Linked DNA regions of Stegostoma tigrinum. The protein of the gene in region 2 purifies or fractionates together with the protein of the main gene of each other region. This does not show direct contact. Links are inferred from orthologs where the notes say so. Each region holds a gene or a part of one and is shown on either strand. Other genes may lie near its edges.

Region 1 (8,351 bases), on a different chromosome or scaffold from region 2:
TACAGAATAAACAATGGCCTACTAACAGTAATTGACGAAGATTTCATGGAGACAAAAAAATTGCACAGAAATAGTGAAAGACTGTGTTTTGGGTGGGGAAGAAGACAGAAAATTAGACAGAGTGAAACAGGGGACCCAACCAGATTAATCTCCAAAAGAAGCAGAGTGATTAGGCCAAATGGCCTCCTGCTGAGCTGCACTATATATTTTCCACTTTCAACTGTACTAAAATCCAATTTTTATAAGACATTATGAGCATACACCATTGTCAGGTCAAATGATGAGCAGTTAGCTTACGAGCATGTGGTTCAGATATAGCATGATAAAGACGCAGAACCAAATCACAGATCAGAAATAATCTAACTGAATGGCCAACTCCTGTTTCCATGACTTTTCAGAAAAGAATGCGTTAATAAACTGGTTGCCCATTCAGACTGCATTTCTGTTTTAAGTCCACTGAAGAATGCAACATTGAGCATTTAATTCACTAAGTGTTTGACATTTCACTTGCAAATATCATTATTAGAGGGATAGTCTCGACCTACTTCATGAACCAAAATATTTGTCAAAACATCTATAAACAGATACAAAATAAGAGGAACAACATTAATTGATCAGTACTTACCACAAATACACATAAACAAAATTTTGATTTGGAGTGATTTGGTGCATGGCACTTTAAAGAAATTTAGAGCAACCTTTTTGCTTGTTATAAAGCAAATTATCATTACCCTAATGGCTGTATTTTCATTTCAAATTCCACTCAGAAAAATTATGTATTTTACAAATGATGCCACAGAATCAAGAAGTCTGTGCATTGTGATACGGGTGGTAGAGGTAAAGACATAGACAGAGTAGGTTGGAAGGAGAAAATAACATCGGTTTTTGAAGGAAGGTAAAAGTGTAACAATATTTCCAAATGAGTTCCAAAGATCTGGACCATTGTGATTAAAGTAATGGCTGGTAGAGGTGTGACAGAAAGCTCATGGACAAAGTAATGAAATATTGAAGATCCATGGGCCACAATGGAGACTTAACTGGAGAGGGTTGCTTACCATGTAGATGAGATTTAACCTCAAATGTACTTAACTGTTTTAATGTGGTGGATGCCGAAATTACACGTTCCAGGAAACTGGCAACGGATATGTAGAATACTACTGGAGAGGTCCTAGGTTGAGTTCTTAATAGGCTACTGTCTGTGAAGCAGATATGCCAGGGTTGGGAACATGAAACAAATATTCTTGGGGTGATAACAACAGGGACGTGGGTTTCAGCATAAACAGTCAGGAAATACTCCAGAGGTAGAGTGCTCAATTTTTCAAACTGCCCTGCTGAAGGAGAGGAAAGTTAGCCTGGGATTAAATACAACCAGAATATTGTACATCACGTGCAAGCACACAAAGCATGGAAGGAGGTCAAAAGAATTGAAACCGCTATGACCACCACTGGCAAGAACTAAAACCCAAAAGAGGTACTGGCATGCAGAACAGGAGGAATATTCATAATCTAAATATGCAGCGTTCTACTAAAGGTATTGGGCACATCAAAATTAATCAACCACTATTTTCATGAGGAATTGTGGTACATAGCTACATCAACTAAAATTATGGTTGGGTCAGAAGATCAAGGTCCAATTCCTATCTCTCAATGTGATGGAGGCATGTCATAAGTTTAAAAGCTAAAATGACAACTAGTGTCAATTTGATTCTCAGGGAGAGCCTACATCCTTGCTCATCTTTCACATTACTGACAATACAAGATTAAGAATCAAAGACAGTTTAACCTTTCCAAATGGCAAGGAAATTAAAGCTTGGCAGGATTGTTAATAAGTATAATGTTTAATATTTGAAAATAAACTCATCTTCAAATTTACAGACAATGTGAACATCTAATTCTGATAAGAGAGTGATAAATATTTAGTATACTCTATTATTTTCCAAAGCACAGGACTTTTTAAATCCTCCAACAATTTTAAAATCACAGTTGTTAAAAATTATGAAATCTAATATAAACCAGAGAATGCCTGTGTTTTCTTATTTCATAAGAACTATTAAACTGTCCTGATGATTGGATCTTGACTTGAAACTTTTCTGTTTTTCGCCAGGTAAAACAAAATAATTTAGTACTAAGACTGAGTTATTGTTGGAGTTTCCAATTATTTTGTTTCAAATTCCCAGTTTTACATTTTCATTCTTTTCTTGTTTTTCTCATATTAGAATAACTGACCAAATAAAACAGAATTATTTTAAGATTGAAAAATAGCACCAGATTTAAAACTGTTTCCCTGATGTCAAAAGCAATTGGACTGCCGAGTTGTCACAGAGGTTCTTCCCCAAGCCCACAGTCAACTCATTAGCAGGATGAGCAACAGTTTGTGTACAGTTTAGACACATCCCAACCATTCAGCATCACTGCAACAAACTACTTACTCCGCACGATTAAACTAATGCAACTCTGGATCATAATGACAGTTTAGGTCAGATTACGTTTCCTAACACTTAAGTCGCATTTCGCAAATTTCATTTCATGGCAACTGTTGCATGCACGGATGCAGAAAGAGTTTGATGAATATTGCGTATGTAATTATCTGACAAAGTGGGATCTCCAAACAGTCCAACCAAACATGTCATATAGGTGTCATCGAACAATACATTCTTCAACATAAAAAGGGACGGGATTCTGGTGATGTTGGAAACATTACCTGGAGTACTGCTATAAGTGCTGTGACTCCTGAAGCTGCTCTCCGTGCAATAACTAGCATCGTCGTCCTCGTCGTCCTCTTCCTCCTCCTCGGTGGCCTGGTGATAATCCGAATCTTGCTCGTCCTCGTCGTCGTTCTCCCGCTCGTCCTCGTCGTCGTCGTCTTCTTCCTCGGACACCAGACTCTCATCTTCCTCCTCACTCTCGTGGTCGTCGTAGATGACTTTGTTGACGGTCAGCCTGCGGGAGCGGCTGCCCTGCCGTTGCTGCTGAGCCGCGGCCTTGGCCCTGCCCCGGTTCCCCGCCTTGCCGCCTCTCGAGGTCCGGCTCCCTCTACCGCCAGCTTCGGCGTGATTCAGCCTCCGGTCTGCCCCTCTGCCTCTGCCGACCCCGGTAGCCCGGTACCTCAGGCTGCCGGCCGGTCCCCCGCCACCTCCCGCCGGCGAAGCATCGAGCGTCTTGGGCGGCCTACCTCGCCTTCCTCTCATGGTGACCCCCCCCCACCCCCTCCAGCTCCGCCTCACTTTATTTTAACCCCCCCTTTGCCTCCTTCACCTTCCCCTCAAAACCACCTCAACCCTCCCACCCCAAAGGGGCGAAGAAAGATTTGGATTTATTATTATTATTATTTTCAGAGACTCTCTTTCCCGCCTCCCTTTTCCGCAGATGCCGGGCGGGAGGCGCCGAGCCTCGATGTGTTTATTGTTATTTTGTTTTCCCTTTTTTACCCCCTCTCTCTGTTCCCCCTCCTCCTCCTTCTCGTCCGTCGCCCCCTGCTTCACTCCAACCTTCCGGCATCCATGTTGTATTCGGGGATCGCCGCCATTTTTGTCAACCAGTCAACTGGTCACGTGATCCCCCCCCCTTCTTTCACCGCCACCAGCACCTCGCGCGCGCCGCCTCCCGGGACCTGGCATGAGCAGCAACCCCGGAACTCCGGCCCTGTCACAATCCCACACCCAAGCTATCAAAACACAGCCAGCAATTTTTTTTACTGCGAACATCAATTTGTAAAATGCCAAAGCCTATATATATTTATAAGCAAAAAAAACACAACGGCTCATCACACAAAAAAGTGCAATGCTTCTGTTGTGATGTATCTAACAGAAATTTGTTGAATGCGATACTAAATATAAGCAAACAGTGGGAAAATGCAACAGAAGAAAAACTGCAATGTTTTATACATTGCAAATCTTACACAGTTGTAAATTATGAAAGAAAAATCTACCAGCAAGACGTAAAACAAGATAGAAATGCAACATTTTGTACATTAAAATGTGGTGCAGAATAAACCAGTAGAGGTTCAATCCCAACACTGGATGGAGATCATGGAGACTTGGTTTCTCATTCTGCACTTTCTGGTGGTTACCCCCAAGCTAATTCTCCCCATTGCATAGATATGGCTATGGTCTTTTGTGGATTTTGACTCCAAACTGTACCATGGAGTAAAAGGTTGTGGAGTTAAATGATCAACCACAACCTGTAAATGAGTGGTGGAACATTTAGATACCTACTTCTGTTCGTATATATAACAAACTTATAGAATGTAAAAGAAAACATACATAAGCAAAAACTCATAAAAACAAATCCAACAATTGATCTAACATCAATTTGTAAAAGTTGAAAGAAAAATATATATAAACTAAGTAAAAAAGGGAAAAAAACTTAAGATGCTGTAAATCAGAAACTAAAATGGAATTTGCTGGAAAAGCTCAGCAGGCCTGGCAGCATCTGCAGAGAGAAATCAAAATTCAAGTTTTCAGTCGACTCGTCTGACCTGTTGCTGGAATTGCTGGAAAAACTCAGACGAGTCGACTGAAAACTTGCATTTTGATTTCTCTCCACAGATGCTGCCAGGCCTGCTGAGCTTTTCCAGCAATTTCATAAAAATTTCATAAAAGCTCATAAAATAGAACAATAATGTTTTATATCGGTAAGGGACTTTTAAGCAAAAGAAAAATACTGCAGTGCTTATGTGCTATATATCTAACAGATTTGTGAGAAGTGAAGGAAGAAAACCTATTATAAAAGCAAAATACTGTGGATTCTGGTAGTTAGATTCAACTTGAATATTAACTCAGATTTACTCTCCACAGATGCTGCCAAACCTGCTGAATATATTCAGCATTTTCTGCTTTTTATTAATGCAATGTTTTATATTTAACTAGTGAAATGAACTTACAAAGAAGTTTTACAAATGGATACCTGCAAATTTATATATATGTGCAAAAATTTGTGAAATCTAATGTTTAACAAAGCCTTGCAAAATGCAAGTAAAAACAATGTAGTCTTATACCATTTAACACAAACGATTTAAATGCAAAATAAAAATGGTAAAGTTGTGTATTTAACAAAGCCTTGTAAATACCCAAAATACAGTCATATATATGTATATCAATATACCTAACAAGATTCAATAAAACATAAACAAGGAGAATGAGGAGACCTGACTGAGAATTATAACATTATGAGGGACATAAGAGTATTCAGGAAGAGACCTCTCCCCTCAATGAAGGGATCAATGAACAAGGGGCATAGATCTGAGCTAAGGAGTCGAAGAGTTAGAGATGTGAGGAAAATCTTTTTCACACAGAGAACTGAGGGAATGTAGAGCTCAATGCCCATCAGTGTGGCAGAGGCAGAAACTCTTAACATTTAAGAAAGCTTTAGATGTGCATCTGCGATGGCAAGGCATGAGCTGAAAAAATCTATTAGAATAGTTAGGTGTTTCTTTTTGACGAAAACAGACAAGATGTGTCGAATAGCCTTGTTCTGTGCTGTAGACTCTATGATCATGACAACGCTGTTGCTTATATTACGTATGAACGAGTAAAATGCAAAAGAAAATTGTTTTTCGCGCAATGCAATAACGTTGTAAATTTTTTCTGAATGTTTGAGATTTTGTATTTGCAAATAACGCGCGGGGCTGGATTATGGAACAACGATTGTGAGGTGAAAGGAAAAACTTTGCATCAAATCCCTCCGTGCAAAACGAACGGAAACTTGTGCTTTCCGCAACAAACGCGAGAGAATGTTTGCTTTTCACGATTGGTTGCTCTTTTTAATCTCCAGCCGGATAGGACAGGGCAGGAAAGCGCAGCATTTCCGCCGAACGGTTGCAAAATTTGAGCCCGAAGTGAAATGCACCCTGACGGAGCCCAGGTTTAACCCCCCACCAAGTGGGTGACAGTCAATAGATTTGGGGGAGAGGGACACGGGGCAATTGGAGCTTGGCGGCAGCAAACCATGGCCAATTAGCACTCTCATAACACCCAGTCTTCCAATGACAACCAATGAAAGAGACCCTTACAGTGAAACAAACAAAGCAAGAAATTCCGCAAAGCCAAAGCGCTTCAGCGCAGAGTTCTCCCCTGTTCTTTTGTTTTCATCGCTCGGCACAATTCAGTCCTTATCTTGCAACCCTTTAGAGAACAGGCTTCCTTCTGATCCCTTCCCTCCCCAGCTAGAAATCCGCGGAGCCTTCAAGGAGCTAGCTGAGCTACGAGTGGACAAAAGGTTATCAACATTAAATATTAATTCTGCTAGTCTCTTCTCGCTTACAGGCTCAATTGCTGAATATTTCCAGCATTTTATATTTTTGCTTCAACCCAAAATCTTACTTTTTTGAAGTAAAGACGTTAAGATCCTGATCAAAGTCTCACAGCTGCCTGCAAATATGAATGTCAAGTTCAGCCTCATCTGTCTGTGAGTATATAGTTCGCTGATACTCTGTTTAGACTCACACGTATAAAGAGGTATTTTGGAGTCACCGCTATCTTTGGAACTCTCCCAAACAAGGACCATAGGCGTCAACGTAATAAGGCAGTAACGAATTAAACTGGAAGTTGGAGACAATAAGGTGTAGAGCTGGATGAACACAGCAGCTCTACATCCAGCTCTACACATTGTTGTCTCAGATTCTCCAGCATCGGCAGTTCCTACGACCCCTGAACTGGAAGTTTACTGGACCTATTAGTGCCTAACGATCAACTATCACCGTTCGTTGCTACCAACTCTTGTCACACCCCCACGTAAGTAAGCATGCAATAGAATTAACAAAGAAGAAAAATCACCTTTCTGTAATTAAGAAGGCAAATGGATAGACTCTGAGATAGCCCAGTCTCCTACTTTATAAACCCAACATGACAACGTATGATCTGTGGATTTAATAAAAAATACAAAGTATAGTATGCAATTTACTTTACCCCTATAAATTAAGGAGACCTGCATTTCGCAATATATTGTCTTCAACTATGATATGAATCATTACAGAGATAGTAGGAACTGCTGATGCTGGAGAATCTGAGATAACACAGTGTGAAGCTGGATGAACACAGCAGGCCAAGCAGCATCAGAGGAGCAGGAAAGTTTGACGTTTCGGGTTGGCACCCTTCTTCAGATATGGATCATGATATGATATGATACGAATTATGATGTCTTTATCCATTTGTTTCATCATTAAAATTGGGCACTTGGTTACCACAATAATTTTGTTTTAGCAAAACTATTATGTATCACAATTGGGGTAAATATGTAGCGGATAAGAAAGGAAATGAAGTCAGGTAGAAGTTCAACAATTCATTGACAGAGCAGACTTGAAAGGCCATATGGCCAACTCCTGCTCCTGTTTCCCATATTCTTATAACAGATTTGTATAAACAGGACCGCCAATCAGTAAATTAAGTCTTTGGTGTACACACCACCTCCCCTTCCCCCCGCCATTCCCTAACCCAACTCATTTAGGAATTGGCATTCTTGTCCCACCTGACATTGGAAATCAATGTTGTAATCTTCCATTTCTCCCTAGCTCTATCCTTCTCTCAGACAAAAATAGAGTCATGGAGTCACAAAGCAAGAAAATGACTGTTCAGGCAACTCATCTGTGCAAACCCAATCTGATGTAATCCAATTTGCCAGCATTTGGTCCATATCCCACTAAACTCTTCCTATCCATATACCCATCCAGATGTCTTTTAAATGTTGTAATTGTATCCACTTCCATTACTTCCTCTACCAACTCATTCCATATACGCATCACCCTCTGCATGAAAATGTTTCCCTTCTCACCTTAAACCTGTGCCCTCTAGTTTTGGATACCCCCACCCAATTACAAAGACCATGGATATTCACCCTTTCAATGCCCCTCATAAGGTCAACCCTCTGCTTCCAACACTCCAGGGAAAATGCCTGACCCATTCAGTCTCTCACTATAACCCCAACCTTCCAGTTACATATGCTTGTAATTTTTTTCTGCACTCTATCACTCCATCAACATCCTTCATGTAGAAGGACAACCCCTCAGAATCATAGATTACCTGCTTCCACTCATTGGGTCCTAAGATACCTCTAAATCCAATGTGTGAGTTGCAGACTTTGCCATGTGCATGTCAGGTAATGCTTGAAGGTCTGGGTAGATGTTTGGAGGCTTGTGTACTTCTTATGATGCCTCAACCTCATTCCTGCACATCCCCAATTCATTCTCTTGATGTGTCTGTGGGCTTCCTGAATCAGCGTTCTCAATTTTGGCTGGCCACAAGCCAGGCACCCTCACTAATTTTGATTTGGTTTGATTTGATTTATTACTGTCATGAGTATTGAGGTACAGTGAAAAGTATTGTCTTATGTGCTTTACAGTCAGATTGTACTGTACA
Region 2 (7,803 bases):
TCCAATCACCCCCAAGCCCCCAACCACAACAGGCTCCAGATTCACACTCCGAGATGCCGACTTGGGCGGAATTACAAGTGAGCTGAGTGCCCAGGCTAGAGTCCACTGCACCGGGCCGGTGAGCCCTGTCTTTCTGTCCCATTTGGAAACATAGAAAATAGGTGCAGGAGTAGGCCATTCAGCCCTTCGAGCTGGCACCGACAATCAATACGATCATGGCTGATCATGCCATTTCAGTATCCCATTCCTGCTTTCTCTCCATACACTTGATCCCTTTAGCCACAAGAGCTATGTTCAGCTCATTCTTCAAGATATCTAATGAACTGGCCTCAACAGCTTTCTGTGGTAAAGAATTCCAGAGGTTCACAAATCGAAGTTAAGAAATTCTTCCTCATCTCAGTCCTGAATGGTTTATCCTTTATTCTTAGGCTGGAAATCCTAGTTCTGGACTTCCCCCAACATCAGGAACATCCTTCCCACATCTAGCCTGTCCAGTCCAATCAGGATTTCATATGTTTCTGTGGGATTTTTGCCTCATTCTTCTAAATTCCAGTGAGTACAAGTCCTATCAATCCAAATCTTTCTTCATAGGTCACTCCTGCCATCCCGGGAATCCGTCTGGTGCACCTTCACTGGACTCTCTCAATAACAAGAATGTCCTTCCTCAGACTAGGAGGCAAAAACTGCACACAATACTCAAGGTGTGGCCTCACCATGGCCCTGTAAAACTACAGCAAAGCATTCCTATTCCTAGGCTCTAATCCTTCTACGTAGTCAGTATCAGTAAATCTTCAACAACAAAAACAAGGTTGTTGGAAAAGCTCAGCAGGTCTGTGAAAAAAAAGTCAGAGTTAACATTTCAGGTCCGGTGACCCTTCCTCAGAATAGTAAATCTTCATCTTGCTTTTGGATGAATGTACAAATTGGGAGGTATCGGCCAATCAACCCATCGCGCCTGGTCAGCTATGGCTTATCCAATTATTCCATGGTCCTAGCTAACGCAAAACATTTCACCCTCTTGCTTATTAAGAATTTATCTGCATCCATCTAGTCACTACTTCCATCGCCTTTTGAGGAAGAGACTTGGTGGGAGGGAGGGGAATGGGGCAAGAGGAGGCGGGAAGATGTGATGGTAGGAGACAGGTCCACTTTGTGTCTACTCTACATGCGAAGCAACTCAGACACATGTCAAGTACACCTTAACGGGCATTTTTCTCAATTCACTGAACTGCATGTCACTGCAATAGGATGGCAATCCAAGGCTACAATTTGCTTACCAAGTAATAACCTGGGGACTACCACTGGCCAAAGCAATTTAACTGGACCATAAATATTGTCGCTGTTAAAGTAAGAAATTCAAGAACTTACTCCCTGACTCCCCAGAGCCTTTTCACTTCCAACAAGACACAAGTCAAGAGTGGGATGAAATACTCCCCACTTGCCTAGCTGACTACAACTAGATCAACACTCAAGACAATCAAAAGCTTCTTGTGCTTTGATTGGCACACCAATCATCACTTCATCATTCACTCCCTCCACAAATGGTGCTCAGCAGCAGCTGTGTGGACAACCCACGAGTCATCTCTGAGTAATTCACCAAGACACTTGAAGACTCCTTCTAAACCCACAACCACTGCCATCTAAAAAGGACAATGGCAGCAGATTCAAAGGAACAGCACCACGTGAAAGTTCTCCCTCTAAGCCATTCACCATCCTGATTTGGAAATGAATTGCTGTTCCTTCAGTGTTACTGGATCAAAATCCTAGAACTTCCTCCCTAACAGAACAGTGAACCTATCTACAAGATATGGCAGTGTAGCAGCTCAAGGAGCATGGGGAGTCACCTCCATCTTCTGCAGGGTAGTTCGATATAGGCGCTATCGGTCAGCTCAGCCAATTGTACCCACATCCAAACCACAAAATCTTTTATAATAAACAATAAGAGAGACTACGCTTACCTTGGTTGACGCTGAGGTCATCCTGCTGGTGTTCCAACAGTCAGGAGAGAAACAATTCCTAAGCCCAGGGACTTTGCAGAAGGAAGGGTAAACTCTCTTAGCAGATTTCCAGAACCCAAGATGGGCCCAAATTCGAACCGATCAATGCCAAACAGCCTGACGTGTGACACAGGGATAGCCAACGCCTGATCCAAGGTACTTCCCCAATTTCAAGTGAGGGGGGACCTGAAATGATCTTCTTTACCACTCCCCAATCCCACAACCAACTGTTCAACCAACGAACAACCCTCCAGCTCCACTTTAACAACCCAATACTGGTGTGATCTGATGTTATGCAACAAGATTGCACCACAATTGCCCCCTTACTTTGTGCAAACTTGAAGATGGGTCACCCCAAAACTAAGATAAAATGCTTAATTTTCTTTTTTTGGTCTCTTTGTGTGATGAGAGGGAGTTTGTTACTGATATCAAAACAGATAGTATCAATGCAGTGCACGTGCAACAAGAATTTATGATCAGTTTGCCAGCATTTTTTTTAGATGCTTTTCATCTCTTTCCCCCTCAGTTGTTATTGAAGTTGCAATGCAAGAAGCAAGTGGGAAGGATCTCTCCCCTCCCCCCAAAAACTCCCTCCAAGGGTTTGATTGACAGCTTTTCCCTGGAAGCTCAGGGCCGGGATCCACTTTTCCCCAGGTTTACCCACCCTGTCCCTCTACCACCCTCACAGCACAGGCCAAACCCTCACTACTGCCGCGGCCTTTTCCACATCCGCCGACGGCCCGCGTCTCCAACGGCAACACATTGTCTCCGCAGCGATTGGCCAAGAAAGATGTCTATCACTCTCCACCCCCTGCTCCATTGGACGGGTGCCTTCCGGGACACGCAGGGTGGTTGGACAAGATGGATGTCAATCAGCACCTCTGGTCCCACCCTCCGTAATCCGCGCGGCTTTATTGGACGGCATCATCCGGTGCGCCATCTTGGTTGGTCTACATTTTGTCAATCAACAATCCTGCTTATTCATTGTAGAGATGATTCCTATCCACCTTTCCGATTGGTAAGAGCCGATAGCAATCAACACGCAAAGTCCCGCCCTCGATCGTCAGACTGTCTTTGGCGGTCAAGCCTCGAATGGGCGGCTACGTGAATCAAATGGCATCTCTCACTTCTGAAGAAACCTCACTGAATTCGAAACGTTAACTCTTCTTTCTCTGTGCAGAAGCTGCGACACCTGCAGGGTTTTTCGACCAATTTCTGTTTATGCCCCCCTTCTTAAACCCGCATTCAACAGCTTCATTTCCATTGAAGGCTTTGTCCAATTGCCCATCGATTGGCCTTGGCAAATGTCAATCGGTTCTCACCCTCTTTCCCCAACACCCACCTCCATCCACTCAATCCCGCCTTTTCAGAGATACTCCGTTTCCATTGGACAGTCGCCTTCCCGATACTGTTTTCCATTGGTTTGACCCGACGTCCATCAATGTTGAGGTCATCATGCACCTTTGGGCCCCGTCATCGCACTTCCCATTCGCCCGCCGATTGGTTCCTGCCGTTGCCTGTCAACCGACACCCCCCCTTTACCCTGAATGATTGGTTGGTCTGCAGGTCAATCCATTGGAAAGTCTCGACCCGCCCCTTTGCTCAGCGATCCTATTTCCCAACGTCACTGGAACTGGATTGACCAATGGAGAGAAAACGGGGAGGGCGGGGCCCATGTATGATCGACGCCTCTATTAACCAATTGGAGTAGAGCGTGGACGGGAATCGTTGGAGGCGGGAAGATGTCCAATCAGATCTGGCAACCCGGTATGTACAAGTTGTCCAGTTGTCTTGTAGTATATGTATAAAGTGCTGACATTTCTTTCAGTGCCATTTTCCGCTTAATTTGCCATCAGAAAATAACACTTTGTTTCATTAACAACGTCATGTACCCGCCATCTTATCATGTTAGATATGTGCCTGGGTGTGGACAGGTAACCAGGCAATGGGGGAAGGTCATCCGAAACCTGACTGCCAGCCTATCATCCCTGGCTACACATCGCACCTCAGAGAGGCAGCACTCTGTGATCATGGTAGGCCTTGGATGTTGATTTGATTTAATTTATTGTTGTCACATGGAGCTAAGTACAGTGAAAATTGTTGTTTTCCCAGGAGAATGGGAAAATCATAGCAAACAAGGACATACAGATTCCGCTTAGTCAGAATAAGGCTTACAAGGTTGCACCTCACAGGAGGCATGCAAAGCAAGATTAACATTGACACAAGCAACATTATTTGAAGTTACTATAGTGTGGAGCTAAATGAATACAGGTCAGAAACATCAGACTCTGATGAAGGGTCCCAACGTGAAATGTCAACTTTCCTGCTTCTCTGATGCTGCCTGACCTGCTGTGTTCCTCCACCAACACACTGTATTGACTCTGACTCCAGAATCTGCAGTTCTTGCTATCTCTGATTATTTGAAGTCAGAGTCTAATAACAGCAGGGAAAAAAACTGTTCTTGAACCTGTTGGTGCTTGTGCTCAAGCTTCTGTATCTTCTGCCTGTCAGAAGAGCTAGGAAGAGAGGATTAGAGTTCTGTGGCTAAGGACTGCTGGTGTACATCATATATATTTTCCATTACTTGTGCATCACATGGGCTGGATGAACATTGAAAGGCAATATAAAATAGATGGTACAGTTCTAAAGGGTTTGCAGGAGTTGAGGGACCTGAGCAGAGGTATGCGTGCCCAGATAATTGAAAGTGAATATCAGGCAGAAATAGAGCAGTCAGGATACAGTGTCTTCTGCTTTATTAGTAGGGGCATAGAGCAATGGGGTGGTTTTGAACTTATGCAAGACATTTGCCAGACTTCAGCTCAAGTATAGTATACTGTTCTGGGCATCACATTATCGTACAGACGTGAATGCATTGGAGAGAATGCAAATGTGGCTTACAAGAACAGTTTGTTAAATTCATTCACAGGGTGAAGACATCACAGGGATGGACAATAAATGCCAGCCTAGATAAATTACCCGAGGGCAGTTAAGGCTCAACTACTGCTATCGTTCTGGAGTTACATTAGGCCAGACCAGTAAAGGATGGTAGTTTCTTTCCCTGAAGGGCAACAGCAAACCAGATGGATTTTTCCCAACAGTTGGCAGTGGATTCATGGTCATTAGACTAGATTTTTGTTTTTTTAAAATTGGAATTCAAACTCCACCATCTGCTGTGTCAGGATTCAAACCTTGGTGCCCAGATATTACCCGTGTCTCTGGATTAACAGTCCAGTGATACTAGGTCATTGCCTCCTCAAATGGTTCCAAGGATGAGGAACATCAGTCAGGAGGATATATTGAAGTTGACATTGTTCTGTTTGGAGTGACCTTCTGCTGATAAGAGATTTGATAGAGGCTTCATAATGATGAACAGGCTGAATTGAGTTGCTAGAGAAAAACTATTCCTATTTGTATAAATTAACAAGAATGAGAAAGTATAATGTAATTCACTAAAACAGCAATGGTACAGTGAGGAAAGATGAAATATTTAGGTTATGGAATGCACTGCCAGGAGGTGGAGGGAGGTTGAATTGAGGCACTCGAGGACATTAGATTAGAAAAAAAAAGTGTGCGAGAATATGGGAGGAAAAGCAGGACATTGCCTTTCGTGAGCATTACTACCTAGTGCCAATGGCCTAGTGGTATTATCTCTAGACTGTTAATCCAGAGACCCAGGTAATGTTCTGAAGACCTGGGTTTGAATCGTGCCATGGTGGAATTTGAATTCAGTAAATATCTGAAATTAAGAGTCTAATTTTGACTGAATCCATTGCAAGTTGTCAGGAAAAACCCATCTGGTTCACTAATATCCTTTAGGGAAGGATATTGCCATCCTTACTAGATCTGGCCTGGCCTAGCCTACATGAGTCCAGACCCATAGCAACGTGGTTGACTCTTTAATTGCCCAGAAGGCAGTTGAGATAGGCAGTAAATGCTGGCCTAGCCAGTGACATCCTCATCCTGTGAATGAATAAAGAGGGATAACAAATGCTCATTTAACAAGGCATGCAGGCACAAGGGGCTGAATGTCCTCCTGCAACATAACAGCTCCATGATCCTAACATCTTTGCAGCAGGTTGGATTTGAACTAAGGCCTTCTAGTACAAAGGTAAGGACATGTACAGGACATGCAGGGGCTCAGTGGTAATCATAATCCCACAATGACATTAAAATTTAAATCAAAGTTGCTTTTGAGATTTTGTCTTTCATTACATTGCCTCTGAGGGTGTGTTAATGACGATTGACAATTAACTGCCAGCCACATAGTTACGTTACAGCTTAGAATCATTGTTGTCATACAGCACAATCAGGCTGTCTCTTTACAGACTCAAATGACAAAAAAGCTCAAATACCGTGAATTTCATCCATTTTATTATTCTAAAATTTCAAATAATGGATCATTTACATTTGTTTTCCACAGTTACATCAACACAAACTACTCAAATTATAACTTCAAAAAAAATGACAAAAATAAAAGTTTCTCATGAACAGACAGGGCCTCGTGACTCAAGGTCCTACATTAATATTTGTAGACTTCTCTTGCTATGAAAAATTGGTTGTGAAATAATGGAATTGGAAAGGAAATGGGAATCTTCTGAAATCACTCTCTAAACACATCCGGATGGGTCAGTGACTGACACTGACTGATGTGCAATACAAGCGTCAATGTTTCTCCTCCCCTCTATTTCTGCAAAATTAGAAAATTATTTAAAGAGATTCCAATTTTCATCAGGTAACAGAAACCGTAGTCCAGATCCTTGCTTTGCCTGTGCTTCCTTCACAAGATTAGTTTTGGTCCTGAAAACAAACACTGGGGTGAAAGATGGCCAGGGAAATTCCCCTGCCCTTATTCAGCAATGGTTAGGCCTCGAAGCTTTAGTCCAACTCCAAGCAGGCCTATTACCATAGCAACAAGAGTACAACACCTATAGAATGCCAGAGGGATCTGACACAAAGTATGGAGAATCTCAGCAAGTCTGGTAAGCATCTGGGGAGACAAAAAACAGTTAATGTTGAGTTCAACACTATTCTTCTTTGGAAACGAAGAGGAGTCATACAAGACTTGGAGTGTTAACTGTTTACGCCTCCCGTGGATGCTGCCAGGCCTGCTGAGTTTCTCCAGAATTAGTTTTTTTTAAAAACTTCAGACTACCAGCATCTGCACTATTTTGCTTTTACACAAATTAATGTGCTGACCACCCCAAAAGTCCTGCGAGACAGTCCTCCCCTTCCTTCTAACCACTAACTCCAAAAATAAAAGCATCACAACAGTCCTGCCACCAAATGGGATACATTCCTTCACAGTAGAGTATCTAGGAAGACAAACTAGACGTTCACAGTTTCAACACCACAGCCTATTCTTCCATCCCAACCTCACCCACTCCGGCAACAAAATGGCTTTGACGTTGTCAGGCTTCAAAGTACCACCAAATCTGATGCGGCTTATGTGTGACCATGTAATGATGAATACACAACTTGGAAGGATTCCAGAGGGACAATGAGAACGGGGCAAGGGAGGTGAAAAGAAAAAAGTCTTTCAACAAGAGGTTCCCACAAGAAAGTTTTCAAGCAAACACCTTGTAACATTTATTCAGACACATCTGAATGCCACCCACCACCACATCATTTAAATTTCAAGTACAATTTTATTTTTGTTTCAACAATTGATGAGAGAGGGAGAGAGAGAGAGATCTTTGAATATTTAAAAAAGGTAACAGCAGTTGCTTGGGTTAGAGGGTGGCAGCACTTTAAATAAATAATGAGATGTCTTAGCGCACCAGATACTCCTTGCGTTTGTTAAGGCGAA
Region 3 (7,421 bases), on a different chromosome or scaffold from region 2:
TAAACCTCCATTAAAGGTCACCCCTCAACCTCCTGCACATCAGTGAAAAGTTCTAGCATTTCTAGTCTAGTTTTATATCTCAAACCCTCCATTCTCAACAAATCCTAATGAGTCTTATCTGAATCATCTCTAGTTTAATAATACCCTTCCATTCCATCTCACTTGAAAGGTAACAAACTTGACAATGTAGAGTTAGGCCCAATTTCAGTTCTCAACACGTTCATGTGCTAATTGAATCACTTTCTGACTGAGAACCAAAGACTACAGAGTTAGGGCTCACAAGAAGTAGGAAGTTATAACAGTTCATAAGGGGTCAAAGTATCTTTCAGACTAACTGCTGTAGCTAGTTAGGTCCAAAACAAGTTACGTAAGTCATACATGGAAGCACACAAAAGGTAAATGTAGTCCAACTAGCTCATGCATGCATGTATGCATACATACTTGTTAGGCCATGCACCAGCCTCTCCGAGCTTAAATAGCTCCAGCTATTTCCTCAGAGGGTAGCTTCTTGAGGTATATCTTTGTGGGTTTTTCTTTTACATCATTTCCAGGGCCTACATAGTTCTTTACAAAATAGAAACCAGAATTGTGCAACAGGTTGAGAGATAGAGTATAAATACAAAATTGGTGATTAAACTATGTTAACATAAAACATACAAAGCACTTCACAGGAACATTGCCGTATAATACTGAGAATAAGCCACAGATAGAAGTATTAGGATCAATGTAATCTACAGGTCAGTTTAGAGGACAGAAAATTTTAGAAAGAGTATTTCAGAAGCTCACGTTTAGATAGCTAAACATAATTAAAATGAGAGATGTGCAAGAAGCCAGAAATGGAACAGCAGAGTGACCTGGTAGGATTGCAGGCAATTACAGAAAAAGTACTGGGCATTCATAAACAAAGATGAAGATATTAAAAATCAAGGTATTGCATGATTAGGGTACAGCATAATCAGCAAACATATTGAGTGCCAATACAGATCGAATTTTAAATACGCTCAAGTTTATGAAGTTTGGAAAATGGGAGGGTGGCCATAAAGATGGGACAGTTATGATGTCAATAAAGGTTTCAGCTACTAAAGTGGAAGTGGAATATTTTAGTAACAGTGTGAATACACAGTCAGAGGTCAAAAAGTTTTAAATTCCCTGGCTCACTCTCAGAAAGCAACCATGAGGGGGAAGCATCTGGTGGCTAGGGAACAGAATTCACAGTGGGGCCTAGAAACAATTGCCTTCAGTATTTCAAATCTTGAGATGATGAGCCACCTGTGCTCATCCAGTCTATGTCAGGTAAGCCACCAAGAAATTAACCCAACTGCTTAGGTTACAATTTTAAAATGGTCTTCCTAATGTGCATTTATATTTACAACGATGGACTCGAGATCCCTTTGTTGCAATTTTTTTCTAGCATCGTGCAAACTTTTAAATTTTCCTTCAAAGTGTAACTCCTTGTATTTGAGGTTCATGTACCAATAAATTAATTTTCCAGTTTATTAAAGGAGTCACGTCTTTTGATCAAAATTATTCTCTCCATTTCTAACTAAAACAAAAAACAAATTGCCTGATCTCCATCAAACCACTGTCACACCATCTTGAGATGGAAACTGGCATAATGAACATTCTGCCTTGGAAACAATACCTTGTAGGATGATTCTCTTCCATCAAAGTAAATATATTGATTGGCTACAAATAGCTTAGCCAGTAGTTCACCCAAAACTGTTAAACAATTTACCTTTTACACAGCTAACTAGCACGGAGGAACGACAGTAAAGTGACATTTGGGGTTCAGACCAAAACCAGCCCTGCTGAATAAGTGGGTCATATTCCAAATTGGAATCAGGAAATATTGAATGAACAGACAGTTCTACAAAACCAAGAGCAGCAATAACAGAAGAATGACAACGGGGCACCAACAAAACTACTCACTGCTGACCAGCAATCAGACCCAGAATAAAATGCATTAAAACTGCAATTAGCCCCTATCAGATATGTTGGCCCCAAAACGTTAATGAGTACTTTCTGAAGTTAGCAGATGGAGGTGACTGGCCGAGACATTGACGTCTCTTTAAAGAGAGGTGGAGATTTGGGGATGGGCTAATGCTGGATAGGGCAAACGAGGGACATAAGGGATTACGGTGACAGAGGAACGTGAAAGGATTCTGTGTCAGGGACAAAGGGAGAGTGTGAAAGAGACAGAGAGAAAAATGTGGGTTAAACAAGGTATACGAAGGGGGGTGTTAGGGAGGGAGAGAGTGTAAAGGGGTTAAACAGGGCATGAGGGGGCGTTTTGGAGGGTAGAAGCTGTGGGGAGTGGGAGGTAGAGGTGATTGGAGTGTGTGTGTTTGAGAAAAAGTGAAGCGAGCGAACGAAGCAGGGCCATGGAGATTCATTGATCCTTTCCTCCTTCCCCACCCTCCGTTTATTTCTTCGCGGTGGCTTCCAGAGGCCCTCAGGGCTCCTCTGGACCTTCCGCGGGTTGGCGTAGCGGATCCCGGGTGGAGGATTCCTCCTGAGGATAGGGGGCGAGGATCAGACAAAGAAGGGGGAAAGGGGAAGCGGACTGCGCGTGCGCCGTCAGCGACGAACCAAGTCTATTCTCCCCCTCCCCCAACACACACACCGAGTGCCGGCGACCGTATTCTTCACCGGACCCCATCCTCCCTCCCACCACCCGTTATCAGGGCAGACAGGACCTGGGCGGTAAACCGGGGATGGAAGGAACGGGGTTGTTTACATGACGGGGGACCCGATAAAGATGAACACGAGGCGGGTAACCGGCCGCTCTCGCGGCGGGCAGGACGGGGTTGTCGACGGATCCGATCTCTCTCCCTCTCACCTGGTCCGTGCCCGGAGTCTGCATCTGGGGTTCGGCCGCCATCGCCCCCAGCTTCGAGCTCGCCTCCTCCACCTGCCCGTCGGCCGGGTTAGGGTTCAGGTTCAAGTTGGCGCTCGGCCTCTCCTCGGCTTCCGACATGTTCCGTTCTCCTTTCCCGCACCTCCCCACGGTTGAATTGAAAATGCCTCACCGGAGCCGACCTCTCACACCGTTTCCCTCCAACACCACTCTGCCGCCGGGTCGGCTCCTCCGGCTCCCCCACCCCCTCAGCCGGCTCCGATCTTCCGCTCAACCGCCTACTCGTCCACCTCCGCCGCTGCCCGGCTCTCGCGATAACGTCCTCGCCAAATCCCGCCAGACGTAGCTCCGCCCCCTCTCCCCCAGGGACCGCACTCGCGAGAACCTAGATAATAAAATGTGAGGCTGGATGAACACAGCAGGCCAAGCAGCATCTCAGGAGCACAAAAGCTGACGTTTCGGGCCTAGACCCTTCATCAGAGACTCTGATGAAGGGTCTAGGCCCGAAACGTCAGCTTTTGTGCTCCTGAGATGCTGCTTGGCCTGCTGTGTTCATCCAGCCTCACATTTTATTATCTTGGAATCTCCAGCATCTGCAGTTCCCATTATCTCGCGAGAACCTACCCGGATTGTTACTTTTGGTTTGAACTGTTGCTAAGTAACAGTCTGGTGGCGGGAATAGAGAGTGCAGGGTGGAAGGTTGCAGAGAGGCAGGAGAGTGTAGGGTGGAAGGTTGCAGGGCGGTGAGAAGCAAGAGGGTGCAGGTGGCTGGGCATTGTGGATGGTCTAGGGTAGTGAAGGGTCAGGGAGCTGGGACAGTTTGAGGCATCTTTAGGCGGCAGGGAGGAGGTAGCCCAGGCAGCATGGAATGTGTAAAGGAGTGAAGTAGGAGGGATTGAAGAGTGTCCAGGGAACGGGATAGAGGTGGCCAGGCAGTGTGGAGGGTGTAGGATAGTGAAGGGGCAGGTTGGAAGGTAGTAGGAGGGAATAAAAGGAGAATGGAATAGATGACGAAAAACTACAGTCTAAGTCCATAGTTTTCTGGTTTCTTTGAGCCTCTGTTCTGAAATTGAGTTCTTGTGTTTGCAGTTTTCCGATCTCTGGGACCGTTCCAGAATCTGTGGAATTTTGGAAGTTTATAACCAATCCAACACTTACTCTGTAGTTACATGTTTTAAGAAGCTAAGATGCCGGTCAATGGGTCCTAGAGACTTATCAACCATTCGTCATTTTAGTTTCTCTATTGTTTAATCACTCTTGATCTATCATATGATTATTCTTGCCCAAGTGATCTTTTACAATGAAGTTATTAATTAATCCTACCTTATATATTAGTGTCTCAAATAGCATATTTCCTGGTTAGTTCCTGAAAGTATTGTTGGAAGTGTCCATTATCTAGCACCACTAATCCTGTTATTTCGGACGTGGTTCTAGTCCTGCTGCATCAAACATAAATTTAATTATTTCCTGCTTCCTTAAATGATGAGTCATGCACTTATTCTATATTAAACTTAAAATCAAGCAAGCAACACAAAATTATTGATTTTTATAAACAAACTTATTCAGGTTGTTACAACACTGGTTAACAGACTTAGTTTGCAATTGAAAATATAAAAATTCACCTCTGAAATAATGAAACATGGAAGGAAAAGTGCAAAAACATGCTGGGTAAGGGAAAAAGAATCATTGCACGCTGTAGAGATGCATTTTGGGGAAACAAAGGTGCTTTGGGCATTAGGTTTTAGTTGTTGATGGCTACAAAAAAAGATAAGGTGTGGAACGTTGAACTGACATTCTGGTATCCAGAGGACAGTCAAGAAAGTCCAGTGATTGTATCTGGTTTCTTTGCCAATGTAGCTTGCTCAGAAAAACACTGTTGAAGATTCTTCCAATCACTGTCAGGTGCACAATCAGTGTTAAGACTGGATCGGGGCTCCACATTCCAGAATGAACCTACAATAAAATGTCACTTCAGAAACAGGAGAGATAGTCTGGGAAGTTCATTTCCTTCCCCAGGCTGGCCGTCAACAAAAAATTCTATATAATCTCCAAGGCAGACTCTGCAATACGACAGTTGTAAACACAGGCAGAGCGTTTGCAGTAAACAAGCAGTTTTCACAAGCACCACATATTTCACTTGGGAACCCTGCAGCCCAATGGTCTCAATGTAGACTTCACAAGCTTTAAAATCTCCCCACACTGGACTTTATCACAAAATCAGTCTAGCTCGTCCCCGCCTCCTTGACCTATCCGTCTTTCCTCCCACCTATCCGCTCCTCCTACCTCACTGATCAACCCCTGCCCCCACCTCCTACCTATTATCCTCATCCCTGCCTCCTTGACCTGTCTGTCTTCTTTCCACTTATCTGCTCCTTTATCCACCTTCTATCAGCACCTCGCCTTTCTCGCTATTTATTCCAGTCCCCTTCCCCTCCCTCATTTTTGAAGAAGGGTCCAGACCCAAAACGTCAGCTTTCCTGCTCCTCTGATGCTGCCTGACTTGCTGTGTTCATCCAACTCTACACCTTGTTATCTCAGTTTTCACAAGATGTGGCTTTCAAGAGACATTTATTGAAAAAAAATACAACTTTCTGTCCAACTGTTCTCTCTCTTTGTGCTTCATCCCCACCTATTGTTTACTCCCAACCTTCTCCCCCAACCCTTTCTCCTGCATATAAACATCCATTTTCCTGGCTACCATCCGTTCTGAGGAAGGGTCACTGGACTCGAAATGTTAACTCGGATTTCTCCTCACAGATGCTGCCAGACATACTGAGCTTTTCCTACAATTTCTATTTTTGTTACAACTTTCATTAACCACTTTTAAGAATCCAAGTATTCATAAAGCCTTCAAAAATAATTAGATTTAAAGCATCCATAACATCACCTGTCTTGAAAAGTGATTTGAAATTACACAGTCTAAACAAGAATAAAATATACAAAAACTTAAGACAAATTTACACGCATTCTCAGTCACTTTTCCCTGCATCTTGTGCGGTTATCTCGATACTTAATTATTTGATAATTTGAATAAAGTTACATTCTTGACAGAACATCAGCAATGACGTTATTTCTTGCTGCAGTGTCAATGACTCTTAAGTGATATGCCTGTAATAGCAAACTCCACAGAAATAGCCTGGCATTTTGTTTCTTGAAAATTTTCCCACTTCCCTGCAGCCATGATGGACTTTTACCTCAAAATGCTCAAAGGGGAGTAGTAATCCCTTTTTTTTCCCTACTGTAGAGTGTCTCTGTTGATGTGGATTTAAGTTGTTGGAAACATATCCCACTGACTTCTCTAAACCCAATTCATCTTGTAATATGACCTTACCTACCCTAAGTCACTGGTATCAATTGCAACATTGGATTTAAATTTAGATTTAGATTTTATTGTCACGTACTCAAGTACGGCATTCAAGAGCGCAGTGACAATCACACAATGTTGCCACGCAAGACACCATCTTAGGTAAGATTTACCTTGGTATAAAATCTTTGTTACAGAAATAGAGAAATAAAGAAATAGAATAGTGGGATGAATCCTCCATATTACACTGTATTTATGCAATCCAGGAATAACTCAAAGAAGCCTGAAAATTATCTCATTAACATCTTAGAGCATCCCGAGCCATGATGAAATGGGGCAATAACTGGCTCCAATCCTGAAGAGCAAAACCAGGTGATGCTCGTATTTCTGTCTTCAAAAGATGAATAATTTGGGATGGCATGGTGGCTCACAGTTCCCGGGTTCAATTCCAGCCTTGGGCGACAGTCTGCGGTTTCCTTTGCGTGCTCTGGTTTTTCTCCTGCAATCCAAAGTCGTGCACATTAGGCAGATTGGTCATGCGAAATTGCTCAAAGTGTCCAGGGTTGTGTAGGTTAGGTGGATCAGTCATGTAAAGTATGGCATTAGCAGGATTGGGTGGGATGTTCTTCGGAGGGTCAGTGTTGACTCGATGGACAGAATAGCCTGCTTCCACACTGCAGGGATTCTATTTAAAGAATGGTTCAGCTGTCCATATAGTATAGTCAAAAAGTTTGGTAAAGTACATTGGTTCAGCTGTGTCATATCTATATGTTGAAGCAATACCATCTCCATAAATGTAATCATTTGGATTGGGTGATAAAGGTGGTAGTTAATAGATGAAAAGAAAATACCATAGGCAATTTAGTGAAGAGAATGAAAAAAAAACCTTGAATTGAGTGCTAAAGCAGTTATATGAATAAAGCTTTCTGAAGTTTTTGTAAAATTAGGAGCAGTTAACACTGGCTCATTGATCAAAATTGCTTTCAGCCTCAACAGCTGCTTGGCACCTAACTAACAAGACTACGTTGGCTCTGTTTTGCATTAAATCCATCAATGGAACAGTAATAGTACAAAGATTGGTACATTAACTGTTATGAACATCCTTGTTAAGTCTTTTTCATTTTTCTATCTCTACATAGGAAAGCATAGTTAGCTAGCAAACAGTTTATTTTGGCAATTGTCCAGTCATTGTTCTGCTTTATTCTCACCATCCATTGCATCCTTTACCGTCCTTACTACCTGACATACCTGCATTAGCTT
Region 4 (7,707 bases), on a different chromosome or scaffold from region 2:
ATATTATACTGATCTGGTATAAATTCATTGTAACTTTTATTTTCACCTAATTTTTTGCCGCTGGCATTTTCACCCCGCCTACAAAAGGGCCTTGATTTGTCAATGCATTAGATTTTTGCAAGTCCTTGCCAATATATTTAGGGAACATCATAAAATCTAGACATTTGGCAGGCTCCCTACTGTCTGATTCTTGGGATGAGGGGATTGTCCTGAGGTGTGACCGAGCAGACTGCGTCTGCATTTCCCAGAGTTTCAATGAATGAAAGGTGATCACCAAAGCATGTAACATTCTCAAAGGGTTCGGCAGGGAAATGGTGGGAAGATTGGGAACAAACTGTATGCTCACAGAATAAATTGTTGACCATTTTGCAGTGACTGAAAAGGAATTTGCTCACTTGAAGGGATTTAAAAACTCTGGAATTTTTTTTTAAAATCAGAGACAGCTGTGAATCCTCAGTCGAGTACATTCAAGGTAGAGATTTATGGATGCTATGAGCATCCAGAAATATGAGGCTAGTGCAGGAAAGTGTCCTGAGGGAATAGATCAGCCACAACAAGTGAAGGGCAGAATAGGGCCCAGGGGCAGAATGGTCGAGTCTTGTTCCTTATTTTCCTATCACAAAAGGAACCTTTTTGAGTTAGATGAACAGTGGTAAGAGGCACAGAAATGGAAAGCACTTAAGAAATTCAGCAGGTCTGGCAGCTTCGGTGGAGAGAGAAACAAAGTTAACTTTTCCAGTTCTATACAGTCTTGTTCAGAACAGGAGTCTTAAAAAATGGCTCTGCACTTGGGAAACAACGCCCCACAAATCTGAGTTTTTGTGGATGTAACCAAAAGGATTCGTACACATTGGCTACATGGACGACAGTAAAGCCTTTGACAAGGTTCCACATGACAGATTAATAAGTAAAGCTAAATCACATGGAATTCAGGGAGAGTATGCCAACTGGAGACAAACTGGCTCGACAGAAGGAGACACAGGGTGGTGGTGGTGTTTTTCGGACTGGAGGCCGGTGACCAGCGGTGCTCCACAGGGACTGGAGCTGCTCCACTTTTGGTTGTCATTTATAGAAACAATTTGGACGAGAATTTTAGGAGGGATGGTTAGTAAGTAAGCAGATGACACCAAAATTGGTGATATAGTCAACACTGATGGTTATCTAAGAATACAAAGGAATCTTGATCAATTGCACCAACCGGCTGAGGTTTGGCAGATGGAGTTTAATTTGGATGAATACAAGGCAGTGCATTTTGTTGAAACAACCAAAGGCAGGACTTATACAGTTAACGGTAGGGCCCTGGGTACTGTTGTTGAACATAGAGACCCATGCATTCAGGTACACAGTTCTTTGCAAGTTGCAACACAAGTTGACAGGGTGGTTTAGCATTGTCTTAATCGCTTGTCTTCATCGCTTTGTCTAGGAGTATAGCAGCTAAGACATCATGTTGAGGTTGTACCGGATATTAATAAGGCCACTTCTGGAGTACTGCGTACAAGTCATTGAAAAACAGGAGAATGTGGGACTTGGCTAAAACGACTGGAGGGAAATGATGCATTATAAACATGCTGGAGAAAAGGAGGACATCATGTGGTGAAGAGGAATGGGCAGAGGTTAATACAGACACACATATTTCAGGCCAGTTTATCCAAATGACCTGATTCTGTCCTGAAAACTCTTAAATAATACCCTCTTACACAAAATAAAAAATACCAGAGAAACTCCACAGGTCTGAACAAAAAACTGAATCACTGAACTCGAAAGTCAACTCTCTTTCCTTCCATATGTGCTGTCAGATCTGCTGAGTCTCACCAGAAATTTCTGTTTTTGTTTCAGACTTCCAGCATCCACAATTGTGTGATTTATTCTATCGTCTAATTAAGGCAATACCCTCTGTAGCATCACAATTGTCACCAAGTTTCCCCAATATATATCTACATAATAATCAAAACAGACTATCATTGAGAGGCAAAACTTCCTCATCCATGGATTAATTTCGGATTTCAAAGAAGAATGTAATTCGGAAAAGAATACTTTTTTTTAAAAAATGAACACAATTTAAAATAACTTACTGGTTACACAACAAATACTAAAATTATAAAAGTTAAATTTCATGCTGCTATATTTGACTTTAGATTTGCCCAGAGGTTGTCACTTCTTCCTAGACAGCTCTGCCTTCCCGCCCTTTCTCAATCTTTGCGCCCATCTTCCCCCACCCTCCGACGCTCATCCGCCCGAAACCTTCCATCAGCAGCCGCCCACCGACCGCGCTCTCCTCGGCCGCGGCATCCAGGAAACACCGCTGCTTTGTCCGATAAGGTTGGCCGCCTACCGGATACCGTTCCTCCCGCCGCTCCCCAGGGGATCTGAACCGGTTTTTCGGAGTTTAACTGTTTTAACGGTTCGGGAGACGCCCGCAAACCCACGCTTTGTCAAACTGAAACTCTCACCATAAAGACACCAACTGGGGCCGCCATCCCTCGCCAAGTACCGCCATCTTGGCCAGACTGAAGCGGAGAGGCCACGAGCAGGCGGAAATAAACGAGCACAGAGCACATCGATCCATTCCCCCGCCGCGGGCTGAGTACTATTCACAGTACCCTCCAAGTCCTTGTCCAACTTTCTACAACTTAATCATTCTGGAAGCAATTTGGAAAAGCCACGAGACCGCATAAATCATACATTTTCTACAGAAGTTCTAGGTCCGCCTTTTCCAACAGTTTAGCTTCCCATCCTAATGTCACCACTTGCGGTCTCACTACTACCGCATTATCACGACACGAGTATGAAAAGAAAACTCAAGTAACGAATTGCTTTCGCCTTGGACTGTTCATCACGTAAACAACGCAAGTCACTGCCTTGTACTCGCTAGTCTTCTTCTAACATGGGTTGTAAAAATGGATACCGTCTGGACAAGACTCTAAGTTAAAGTGACATAGAGGATCCCAGGCTGTAGCTGGAAACTGAACAGTCCAGATGCTCATATTTCACTAATGACACGTTCTCAACTATTAGTTTGTTACCCTCAACAATGCAAATAAACATTTTTTTTTCCCCTGAAGAAGGGTCTGGGACCGAAACGTCAACCTTCCTGCTCCTCTGATGCTGCTTGGCCTGCTGTGTTCATCCAGCTCTACACCTTGTTATCTCAGATTCTCCGGCATCTGCAGTTCCTGCTATCTCTAATGCAAATGACATTTTGTTTTCACAAATATGCATAGTTCACCTTTGGGCGAGTAATTCCTCATCAGATAACACGTGATAAAATTAAAGAAATAATCAATGTTAATGTATGTGTATGTTTCTAACTCGAACAAAACGCCAACAATAACTGTAATTACATTATGTTTCCTACAGGAGGCAGAAGGATAAGGTAAAAGTTACACGGTTTCAACATAGGACACTGGAAAAAGATGCCTAACAATAAATCTGACAGTAATAATTGTAGAAAATAAATTCCAATAAAATCAGTAGAAAAATCATAAAATTTTCTATGAATGTAGTCGTAAAAGTGGATACATTTCATTAAACGTTTTAAATTCAAAAATGAAATGAGAAAAAGTTCCGAATTAATATCAACAAAAAGGTTTGAAAGTAAAATACGTACATCAAAATTCTGAAGAAACGTAGTCAGGAACAATTATTCAAAAGTTACTTTAGCGTAAGTAAAGTAAATTCAACCCACCCCAGATGGGACTCGAACCCACAATCCCTGGCTTAGGAGGCCAGTGCCTTATCCATTAGGCCACTGGGGCTACGTGTTTTAAATGGAAATTGAAGCATTTAAATACTTCGCTCGAGGTGGTGTTCTTTTTTTCATACTGTAATTGATTGGGTTTTTTCCCCTTCCATCTCATGCACATTTTAAATGCTAAATTGCTGGCTGCTTGATGAATTGATCTCGCCTCCGAGCAGACAGGAGAAAGATGTGGCTACTCGTTGCTATTTTGCGCAGCAGTGTGAAGGTATTTGCAGTAAGTGGGAGAATGAAAGTGGAGGTGAAAACCGAAGGAGCTGCAGATGCTGTAAATCAGAAGCAGAAAGAAAACATTGCTGCAACAGGTCAGCAGGTCTGGCAGCGCCTGGGAAGAGAAATTAAAGTTAATCTTTCTGCTCCAGTAATCATTTGTTTCTGAGTAAGTGGAGAATATTGCGCAAAACTGCAATGAGAACAAAGCAATTGAACCTTGGCGGGCATTCAGCCCATCGTGGCTGTGCTGTCTGTGTGAAAAACTCAGCCAATTTTCTGTATATCCCCAAACTCCTTCAATTGCGTTGTTCAAGATTTTATTGAACCATCCTTTGCTACGATCTCAGCGTAGGAACAGGGAGTTTGACAGAGTAGATGAGAAGTGAACGTCAGAAACATTCAAGATCCCTGCAGAGCAAGTAGGCTTTAAAAATTGGACACCCCAGATGGGACTCGAACCCACAATCCCTGGCTTAGGAGGCCAGTGCCTTATCCATTAGGCCACTGGGGCCCCTGCAGGTAATTGGGGTGTGGCTTATCTAAGGGCACGAACACCTTTTCTATTAGTTGTGTTGATATCAATTTTATGTTTGTACTCTGCCAATATTGCCAGCTGACCCACAATTCAAAATGACATTCAGAATAAAGTAAATAGAAATTAGTTAAAGGTTGGTCTTCCAAGATTGTAAATCTTGGAGCTGTGGTTATGCATAAGGAATGCCTGCCTTTATTATGGAATTCCTGAGGAACCTATCCGCCATAATTAAATGGCGGAGCAGACTTGGTGGGCCGAGTGGCCTAATTTCTGCTACTGTGTGATATGGTCTTATGATCTTTATTAGTAGAGGTAAAAACTGCTGATGCTGTAAATCAGAAATACAAACACAGGTCTGGCAGTATCTGTGGAGAGAAATCAGAGTTGGCATTTCGGCTCAAGTGACCCTTCTTCAGAACCCTTCCCGAAGTTCATAGGAAGGGTTAAAATTGTATCAGAGGTAATGGGAACTGCAGCTGCTGGACAATCTGAGAAAACAAAGTGTGGAGCTGGATGAACACAGCACGCCAAGCAGCATCTTAGGAGCACAAAAGCTAACGTTTCAGGCCTAGACCCTTCATCAGAAAAGGCGGATAGGGAGAGGGTTCTGAAATAAATAGGGAGATGTGGGAGGTGGATCCAAGATGGATAGAGGAGAAAGTGTGCCCCCACACCTCCTCCCTCACCCCCATCTCAGGCCCAAAGATGACTTTCCACATCAAGCAGATGTTCACCTGCACATCCACATGCTGCATCCACTGTACCCGGTGTGGCTACCTCTACATCGGGGGAACCAAGCGGAGGCTTGGGGACTGCTTTGCAGAACACCTCCGCTCGGTTCGCAATAAACAACTGCACCTCCCAGTTGCGAACCATTTCAACTCCCCCTCCCATTCCTTAGACGACATGTCTATCCTGGGCCTCCTGCAGTGCCACAACAATGCCACCTGAAGGTTGCAGGAACAGCAATTCATATTCCGCTTGGGAACCCTGCAGCCCAATGGTATCATGTGGATTTCACAAGCTTCAAAATCTCCCCTCCCTTCACTGCATCCCAAAACCAGCCTAGCTTGTCCCAGCCTGCCTAACCTGTTTTCCTCCCACCTATCCCCTCCTCCCACCTCAAGCCGCAGCTCCATTTCCTGCCTCCTAACCTCATCCCGCCCTCTTGATCTGTCCGTCCTCCCCGGACTGACCTATCCTCACCATACCTCCCCACCTACACTCACCTCTACTGGCTCCATCCCCGCCCCTTTAACTTGTCTGTCTCCTCTCCACCTATCTTCTCCTCTATCCATCTTCAATCCACCTCCCCCTCTCTCCCTATTTATTTCAGAACCCTCTCCCCCTCCCCCTTTTCTGATGAAGGGTTTAGGCCCAAAACGTCAGCTTTTGTGCTCCTAAGATGCTGCTTGGCCTGCTGTGTTCATCCAGCTCCACACTTTGTCATCTCATTTCCTAGGAAGGGTCACTGGATCTAAAATGTTAACTTTGATTTCTCTCCACAAACACAGCCAGACCTGCTGAGCTTTCCAGCAATATCTCTTTGTGTTTATTAGTCAAGGCATTGAATACAATTACTGGGAGGTTATGATGGAGCTGCATAAGATGTTAGTTGGGCCATAGCTGAATTACTTGGAGAACCCAGATTGCAAATGGGACAAAAATAGATGGGAGAGAAACTATGAACAATAACGCAAAAAGTTTACAGGGGAGATAGACAGGTTGAATGAATGGGCAAAAACTTGGCAGACTGAATATAATGTGGGAAAATGTGAGATTATGTAGTTTGGCAGGAAGAATAGAGCAGTTGGACATAATTTTAATGGAGAAAGTCTGAAGATAATTACAGCACAGAGGGATTTGCCGGTTTTTAAAAGACAGAAACAGAAATTGCTGGAGAAACTCAGCAGATCTGGCAACATCTTTGGGAAGAAAGAAAAGTTAATATTTTGAGTCTGGTGACTCTGGCAGCTAGGAAAACTGGCATTTATGCTGAAGCCAAACTGGGGACAAAGGGGTGATGAAAAGATAGGTGGAGACAGACCCCAGAGATAGAGATATGAAAGGGGCCGGTAAACAAGAAGATAATGGATATCAGGCCAAGACAGATAGCAAACTGAATAAGAGATAATAAGAGCTAAGAGTGAGAAAATGGGTTACTGAAAACAAAAAAAGCTGAAAATCACAGCAGGTCAGGCAGCATCCATGGAGACAGAGCAAGCTAATGTTTTTGAGTTCAGATGACTCTTCATCAGATTCTTCATTAGTGTCAAAAACAAAGTTGCTGGAAAAGCTCAGCAGGTCTGGCAGTACCTGTGAAGGAGAAAACAGAGGTAATATTTTGTGTTCAGTTTCAGGTAATGTTTCCCCGGACCCAAAATGTTAACTCTGTTTTCTCCTTCACAGATACTGCCAGACCTGCTGAGCTTTTCCAGCTAATTTGTATTTGTTCCTGATTTACAGCATCCGCAGATCTTTTGGTTTTTCTTCATTAGAGTCATCTAGACTTGAAATGCTAGCTTGCTTTCTCTCCACAGACGAATTTCGGCACGACAAGAAGCTGGACATTTTGGAGGCTCCCTTGTTGAAGTGGGCCTCATCTGAACATATCTGATGGAAACAGAGGAACTGAGAGAATGGGATAGAGTCATTATAGGAAGTGGGGTATGAGAGGGGCAGTGAAATTGAAGAAGAACAAACAACACTTCACCTGCACTTCCAAGAATCTAGTCTGCTGCATTCACTGATTACAATGTGGTCTCTACATTGGGGAAACGAAGCATAGACTTGGCAACCGCTTCACAGAATATCGATGTTGTGTTTGCAAAAGAGACCCTGAACTACCTGTTGCCTGCAACTTCAATGTAATGTATCACCCTGCTCCCTGACCAACATCTCTGGCTCTGGCTTGCTACAGTGCTCCAGTGAAGCCCAACACAAGCTGGAAGAACAATACCTCATTTTCCGCTTGGAGACCCTACAGTCCTCCGGACTCAATATTGAGTTCAATAATTTTAGGGCCTAAACTCTCCCATGTCCCAGCCACCCGCCCCCCACCCCACACATCAGGCCTTGTTACCACATAGCCTGCCATTACACACTCCCTGTTGTTAGTCAATAACAGCCCCCATTAACAACTACCCACCCTCCTTTGTCTATCCAACTGTTTTTCTCTCTCTTTGGGCCCTATCCTCTCGTT

What was found.
Region 1: the proteins of chromatin complexes subunit BAP18-like (region 2) and bptf purify together in Homo sapiens (affinity purification with mass spectrometry; 5 studies listed by BioGRID and IntAct, with this or other methods). This does not show direct contact. The link is inferred for Stegostoma tigrinum from reciprocal best matches to the Homo sapiens genes BACC1 and BPTF.
Region 3: the proteins of chromatin complexes subunit BAP18-like (region 2) and SWI/SNF-related matrix-associated actin-dependent regulator of chromatin subfamily A member 5 purify together in Homo sapiens (affinity purification with mass spectrometry; 5 studies listed by BioGRID and IntAct, with this or other methods). This does not show direct contact. The link is inferred for Stegostoma tigrinum from reciprocal best matches to the Homo sapiens genes BACC1 and SMARCA5.
Region 4: the proteins of chromatin complexes subunit BAP18-like (region 2) and hmgxb4a purify together in Homo sapiens (affinity purification with mass spectrometry; 4 studies listed by BioGRID and IntAct, with this or other methods). This does not show direct contact. The link is inferred for Stegostoma tigrinum from reciprocal best matches to the Homo sapiens genes BACC1 and HMGXB4.

What each region holds. Positions count from the first base shown.
Region 1 is NC_081375.1:10,334,911-10,343,261, reverse strand, and holds the start of bptf (nucleosome-remodeling factor subunit BPTF), read right to left. Parts: upstream 3,189-8,351; coding exon 2,702-3,188; intron 1-2,701. UniProt on the Homo sapiens protein: Regulatory subunit of the ATP-dependent NURF-1 and NURF-5 ISWI chromatin remodeling complexes, which form ordered nucleosome arrays on chromatin and facilitate access to DNA during DNA-templated processes such as DNA replication, transcription, and repair.
Region 2 is NC_081398.1:7,353,558-7,361,360, forward strand, and holds the start of chromatin complexes subunit BAP18-like, read right to left. Parts: upstream 3,330-7,803; 5' UTR 1,980-3,329; coding exon 1,959-1,979; intron 1-1,958. Other genes in the region: rnaseka (ribonuclease kappa-A), read right to left, coding at 7,766-7,803. UniProt on the Homo sapiens protein: Component of chromatin complexes such as the MLL1/MLL and NURF complexes.
Region 3 is NC_081354.1:14,750,681-14,758,101, reverse strand, and holds the start of SWI/SNF-related matrix-associated actin-dependent regulator of chromatin subfamily A member 5, read right to left. Parts: upstream 3,172-7,421; 5' UTR 2,978-3,171; coding exon 2,840-2,977; intron 1-2,839. UniProt on the Homo sapiens protein: ATPase that possesses intrinsic ATP-dependent nucleosome-remodeling activity.
Region 4 is NC_081391.1:4,173,127-4,180,833, reverse strand, and holds the start of hmgxb4a (HMG domain-containing protein 4a), read right to left. Parts: upstream 3,298-7,707; 5' UTR 3,227-3,297; intron 2,919-3,226; exon of another isoform or gene 2,451-2,918; intron 1-2,450. UniProt on the Homo sapiens protein: Negatively regulates Wnt/beta-catenin signaling during development.